2 linked regions of the Canis lupus familiaris genome follow. The protein of the gene in region 2 purifies or fractionates together with the protein of the main gene of each other region. This does not show direct contact. Links are inferred from orthologs where the notes say so. Each region holds a gene or a part of one and is shown on either strand. Other genes may lie near its edges. The genes, in order: SQSTM1 and RAD51.

What was found.
Region 1: the proteins of RAD51 (region 2) and SQSTM1 purify together in Homo sapiens (affinity purification with western blotting; 3 studies listed by BioGRID). This does not show direct contact. The link is inferred for Canis lupus familiaris from reciprocal best matches to the Homo sapiens genes RAD51 and SQSTM1.

What each region holds. Positions count from the first base shown.
Region 1 is NC_049232.1:2,132,597-2,136,841, forward strand, and holds the start of SQSTM1 (sequestosome-1), read right to left. Parts: upstream 2,949-4,245; 5' UTR 2,919-2,948; coding exon 2,708-2,918; intron 2,025-2,707; exon of another isoform or gene 1,907-2,024; intron 1,321-1,906; coding exon 1,225-1,320; intron 690-1,224; coding exon 460-689; intron 363-459; coding exon 221-362; intron 1-220. UniProt on the Homo sapiens protein: Molecular adapter required for selective macroautophagy (aggrephagy) by acting as a bridge between polyubiquitinated proteins and autophagosomes.
Region 2 is NC_049251.1:8,161,451-8,164,088, reverse strand, and holds the end of RAD51 (DNA repair protein RAD51 homolog 1), read right to left. Parts: intron 2,599-2,638; coding exon 2,485-2,598; intron 1,893-2,484; coding exon 1,763-1,892; intron 1,568-1,762; coding exon 1,446-1,567; intron 996-1,445; coding exon 872-995; 3' UTR 685-871; downstream 1-684.

The sequences.
Region 1 (4,245 bases), on a different chromosome or scaffold from region 2:
AAATCTAGTGTAGGTGAATCAGTGGCCATGGGCCATCAGGAGCCTCCATGTCCTGTGTGCAAAATGAAGAGGACACTCCCCACTTTGCAAGGCTGAGGATTAAGCGCCCCGCCCCCCCCCCAGCCACAGGCTCAGCAGCCACGCAGAACATGGGAAAGGCCCTCCAGCTCTCCCAGCCCTGACAGCTCCCGCCACAGTAGCCCACAAATGCAAGCCTCACCTGATTCTGCCGCAGGGCCAGGGCGGGCATCCCCAGCCCGGGGAGGACGCGGGCTCCAGTTCCCTGGTGGACCCATCTCCCAGCCAGGCCACCCAAAGTGCCCGTGTTTCAGCTTTCGGAGCCAGCGGCTATGAGAAAAGCCCTAGAGAGGAGGTAGCAGAGGGGTAGAGTGACACCAGAACAGAGCATGCCTCCCTGCACCCGGTGCCCACCCCAGCCTGGAGAGAAGCCCCACTCACCTCTGAGAAGGGCCCGAAGGTGCCGGGGAAGACAAGCTTGCTATGCTCCCGATGCAGGCCCTTTCCCTCACAGGCAGCACACAGGTCATAGTCCGGGCAGACGCTGCACTTGTAGCGGGTCCCCACCACTGGCCCATTGCAACCGTCACAGATCACATTGGGGTGCACCAGGCCACGTGGTGCCTCCTGAGCGCATGGGGGGCGGTGGTCCCGCCGACACTCCTTCTTCTCTACAGGGAGGACAAAGAGCCATGAGGTGGGACCCTGTAAGTTTCCCATTTGTCACCACTGTGGAGCTTGTAGGTAGCAGGACCCCTGGCCCTGCTCTCCAGACACAGAGTCCATGCAGAACTCAGCCATTGGAGGGACAGCAACAAAGGGACCCAAGAACCTGCTGGGAGGGTCCCAGTCCCGTGCCTGTTATCCAGGTACATGTGGCCCAGGCCAAGTGACAAGCAGCAGGGAGCTGTGTCTGTACAGCTTTGGCCCTGCCCCGTGTTAAAATAAACCCCCATGGTATCCCCAAAGCTGCCCCCTCCTACCCCCTTAGTCTGGGCACAATCAAGAGAGAACCCAGAGATCCTCAGGCCCCACCCCTTGTGGTCGTTGGGATTCCTTTCTCAGGCCAAGCACAGAGGTGATTCTGTCTTAAACCACTCCCAGGTTCTTCTCCACTACTTTGAAGGGATTTCTCCAAAACCTCAAAACAGGTCTTACTCAGCAAGAAGCATCCAGCTTCAGGCAGCACCCAAATCAGACCTTTACCTTTAATGTAAATGCGGAAGATGTCATCCTTCACATAGGACATTGCCATTGTCAGTTCTTCATCACTGGAAAAGGCAACCAAGTCTCCATCCTCATCTAGATTATTTAAAAGACAGCACGTGAGCACCCAAGGTTTCTCTGTGGGACACAAGCTACTGAAAAGTGCTAGAAGGGTATCCACGGGCCTAGGAACCGAAGCACACCTGCGTGAGCCAGTGGGCAGCAGGGCTGAGGCCAGATTGCCTGTTCATTGTGCCACTGCCTACAAGTTAAGTCCTCCAAGTTGGGCCCTGGGCACCCAGAGGACACAGAGCATGTTTGTGCAGGGGCAACTGGCTTCCTGCCACTCTGCCTCTGAGCCAGCTGCCACCTCCATGCACATCTGATCAGGCCTGGGCCCAGACCCATCTTCAACTGTAGGAGATCCTCACCTATGACCCCTCCAAAGGCCTTGGGCCTCCTGTGGTTTAGGAGAATCAAGCAGATGAGTACATCTGCCCCCAACGAAGCTAAAGTATTCATATATACTCTTTGATTTTTAATTGTAGATTTAGCAAAGGATGTTAAAGTACCACCATGCAGGCTGAACCAGCTCTGTGGGCCACTGGATGCAATAGCCACCATAAAAACAGCCACCATAAGAACAATGGCAGTGTCAGAACGTGATAACCCAAACACTCACCAACTAACGAGTGGATAGAGAATGTAGTATGTCCAGAAAATGGAATGTTATTCACCACAAAAAGGAATGAAGTACGGACATATACAAGGACGCAGGTAAACCTTGAAAATGTTATGCTGACTACAAGAAGCCAGTTACAAAAGAATATGTGAGATTGGGGTGCCACATATACGTCTACACGGACCGTCCAGAATAGGGACCTCCACAGAGAAAACTAAGCAGCAGAGTTCCTTTCCCAGGTGAAGCAGAGCTCCTTCCTACGCCTGTGAGCACGGATGCACGAGTCTCTCACAACTGTTCACGTTAAAGGGACGAAGTACATGGGACGTGAACTACAGCTCCATAAAGTCGTCACAAAAACAAACCAGGAGCTGGTCTGGCCAGCCGGCAGCGCTCCTGAGGGAGGTCCCGGCACTGCCCCTCCCAGGGGCCGGCCTTGGCTGCCCGCCTCGCCCCCGGCCGCAGCCGCGCGGCACCCCGCACCCCACCCCCAGCGGCCGCCGGGCGCACCGCGCGGCCAGAAACGCAGCGAGCTCCCGCCGGCGGACAACCTCCGCGCTCGGGCCGGCCTCCCGCGCACCCTCGGGGCCACCCCACGCAGCCCCCGCCAGCCCCGATCGGCGGCAGCCGGGGCGAGCCGAACTGGAGCGCGAGGTCGCCGGGACCTGCGACGTCACGGCGGGGTGGGGGAGGGGCGGCGCCGAGCGCCCCGCCCCCGCCCCGACGCCCGCCCCGACGCCCACCGGACAGCCGCCCCGACGCCCGCCCCGACGCCCGCCCCGACGGCGCCGGCCCGCTCACCGCGGTAGTGCGTCTGGAAGCCGCCGGGACGCAGCACCGGGAACAGGGCGGCCACCCGGCTCAGCAGCCTCTCGCAGGGCCCGGGCCCGGCCGCCGCCTCCGCCTCCATCTCCGCCTCGGGCTCGGGGCCGAAGCAGAAGCTGAAGCGGCGGATTTCGCGCGCCGCGTCCTCCTTGCCCAGAAGGTAGGCCTTCACGGTGAGCGACGCCATCGCGGCGGGCGGCGGGCGGCGGGCGGCGGGCGGCGGGCGGCGGGCGGCGGGCGGCGGAGCGGCGGAGCGGCGGGGCCGCGGCGGCGCGGGGCGCGCGGCTTTTGTAGAAAACGAGGGAGGCCACGCCCTGGCCGCCTCCGGGGGCGGAGCTCCGCGCCGCGGCCCGCCCCCCGCGCCCCCGCCCGCGCCGCCCCGCGCGAGCCGCCCTGCCGAGGCCCCAGCTCGCTGCCCCCTCCCCTCCGTCGGCCCCTCCCTCCGCTCTCGGCCCTGGGTCTCCGGCGCCCCCTGTGGCCGACCCCCCGTTACTGTCCTCGGGGCCCCCGGGGCCCCCGGGGCCGGCCGCGGACGCTGCCGGCACCTGGGGCTGGGCTCCTGCCGCCTCCCCTGCAGGGAAGCCCCCCCAGGGGTCCTGCCCCAGACCCCTCCCGGGCCTGGCCCTGGCCGTGACTCAGCAAAGCCGAACGGAGGCCGCCGGGGATGCCTGAGGCAGGAGGGGGGCGGGGGTCAAAGGGGCCCAACGCACGGGCTCCTGAGGTGCTCTCCTGTCCGTTGGAAGCACCTGGCTGTGCGGGTGGCCGCCTGCTCCACCGCCCCCAGCATCCTCCATGACGGCCACTTCCTGGGTTGAGGGACGCAACCAGGGCCTGAGCAGACTTGGGCCTGAGCATCAGAGGACCTCCCAGTGTAATGGGGGGAAGGTGGGAAGGTGCCTGAACTGTACAGGGTCCTCTCACCCTCGCCTGGCCAGAGGGCCAGCCAAGGCTTCCTGGAGCCTCGCTGGGCATCAGGTGTTCGGTACAGTCCAACAGACTCCCCATGGGCAGCCAGTCACCCACCTGTCTACACAGAGTTCACTGCAGCAGGTGGTGCCCAAAAGGGCCTGTGTGGTCTCAGGCCTCTTGGCCTCGTGGGCATCCCAGAGGTCAGACCAATAGCCCTCCAGCTATTGGTAACCAAGTAACACTGCTTTATGTGACAAAACCCACCTGTTCACAGGTCTGGAGGAAGGTGGGGGAAGGGTACATTACCCTATGAAGTCTCCCAGGTGGGGTCCTAGGAGTAGAAGTCAGACTTGCAGAGTCAACGTTATGTCCTCTCATGGTGGGGTTTGTGGGAACAGGGAAAACCTCAAGAAATGGGAACCCCAGAAGGGAAGGGTGGGTGGACTTTGCTCTCCGATCGGATGGGAAGGCGATTTGCTTATGGGAACACAGCAGGGACCTGTCTCCACAGGTGTGGCTAGTGCTTCCCCAGGGAGGTGGGGGCTCCAGAGTATGCATACCCAGCCCAAGCAACCCTTTACAGAGGCCGTACTCTCTCAGGCCCC
Region 2 (2,638 bases):
AGCACAAATAACTACTTTATTAGCAGCCCCACACTAAATCTACTTAAAGAGCCTCTGAAATACTTTGAGATTTCAGAATTATCTTGAGTTACTCTTAGTAGTTAAAAAACCAAGCAAGTAGACGGTAACGGACTGATGGCCCAGTAGGCTTGTTCTGTAGCCCTTAACTAAAAACAAACTTTTAGGGATCCCTGGGTGGCGCAGCGGTTTGGCGCCTGCCTTTGGCCCGGGGCGCGATCCTGGAGACCCGGGATCGAATCCCACATCAGGCTCCCGGTGCATGGAGCCTGCTTCTCCCTCTGCCTGTGTCTCTGCCTCTCTCTCTCTCTCTCTGTGACTATCATTTAAAAAAAAAAAAAAAAAAAAAAAAAAAATAAAAACAAACTTTTACCTAAGATAATTCAGGCAAACTAACTTAACCTGCTTCTGATGGAAAGAGTTTTACTGGCAGAAGAAAAAGAACCTGTGAGGAGACCCACTTTCTTTGCCACTTAGGCATTTTAACATTACCCAAACAGAAAAGAATCCAGTCTTCCCAGCTTATGTCTGCAAGAAAACCAAAGATTGGCCAGTAGGTAGCTGTTAGTCCTGAATCAACCCCAAGGCACTATGTCAAAGGTATTCCTTACTTCCCCTGAAATAATTCACATAGAAATCAATACGCTTCAGTCGGAATAAACATTTCAGATCAGTCTGTGACTACTGACCTGTCTCCTGTTAATACCATCAGAAAAGCCGATACAATAACCGGTTTTCCAGAAGCCTTTTTCTGGCAGTCACAACAGGAAGAGGCCTATGAAGAACCCCAGGGAGCAGTCCTCTTCATTAGGCTGCAGCACTTAAGGTTTCTCACAGGACAACCCCCAATGCTTCAGTCTTTGGCATCTCCCACTCCATCTGCATTGATGGCAAACATAGCTTCAGCTTCAGGAAGACAGGGAGAGTCGTAGATTTTGCAGATTCTGGTTTCCCCTCTTCCTTTCCTCAGATACAGCCTGACCCAAAGAGACAGACCAGTTATTATAATTTTAAAATCTTTTTCCTATTCATGGTAGATCTAAACTTCTTCAGACTTAAATACTTCTTAGGACTTTGGGGGAATCTTTCTGTATTCTTTAGGGGTATTTCCAACCTGGAGGAATCCACGCCTACTCTGCCCGCCCGCCCCTTAGTGGATTTTCCATATTGAAACAATTACTTTCTTAATAAGGGAGAGGGATATCCTTCATATTCATTCTTGCATATTTGAGGGCTTTTAATTCCTTTATAAACTAAAAGCAAACATACACACTAACCAGAGCATGACAGTTCTGTCTAGCCAGGGACTCCTGGGTCTAATTATACAAACATAGCTTTAACTGGTTTTAAATGGAAATGCTGTATCTTCATGTCTACTTTCATTAATATGACATTCCAAGACAAAGTCTCCTATTCCATCACTTTACCTGGTTGTTGAGGCATGAGCAATGATATTTCCTCCAATAGGTTTTTTAGGATCTGCAGCAAACATGGCTGCTCCATCCACTTGGGCTACCACCTGGTTGGTGATTACCACTGCTACACCAAACTGACAGAGAAAGGATAAATGTCATTTTTTTGTGGCCAAAGGACCTTATTGCTGCCACCCCTTTCTCCACAAAGTAATGAATGATTAATATATCTCTTCATATCTGTTATCTTTATGACACTAGGCTCTGACGTTCTGGCCTCCCAGCAAGGCCCCTGAAAATTGGGCATTCTCTGTCCCCATTCCCCAACTTACCTCATCAGCAAGTCGCAGAAGCATCCGCAGAAACCTGGCTAAGTGCATCTGCCTGGCAGAAAGCTCCCCTCGACCTGAGTAGTCTGTTCTGTAGAGGGCAGTGGCACTGTCTACAATTAGCAGTGCATACCTATAGGAAACAAGGACTCTATGAAGCCTATTTCGAGCCTGTGTCAGATTGTGCTCCCTTTCTCAGTACCTTAAACTTTCATATTCGTAGTTACACTCATACATAAATGTTTTATTAAAATATTTGTACAGCATTCATGTCTGAGGCACTATATAATAAGTAAAATTTTCAACCAGTTCAAGAGAATTACGGCTTCATTTCTTAGTGACTTGACCCGAACCCCAACACAACAGTGTCAGACTAAGAAGGACCAAAACTTAAATCTTCCCATTTCTTTCTTTCTTTCTCTTTTTTCTTTCTTTTTTTTTTTTTTTTTTTTTTTTTTGGTAAATTTATTTGACAGCACAAGCAGGGGAAGTGGGAGAGGGAAAAGTAGACTCCCTGCTGAGTAGGGAGCTGGATCCAGAGCTCAATCCCAGGACTCCAGGAGCATGACCTGAGCTGAAGGCAGGCACTTAACCAACTGAGCCACCCAGGCACCCCCTTAATCTTCCCATTTCTAATTCAAGTTATCAATTTGGCCAAATAGTCTACATAAGACTTAGGGTTAAGGGCTCTAGGCCATATTCAGTGTCTTCTACTGAGCACATACCTAGATTCTACCATCATGGCTGATGCTTGATAAAGGAGCTGGGTCTGGTGGTCTGTGTTGAACCCTCGAGCATATGCTACATTATCCAGGACATCACTGCCAGAGAGGCCATATCTAGAAGAAAATACAGAACATTTTTAGACTGTAATGAAAA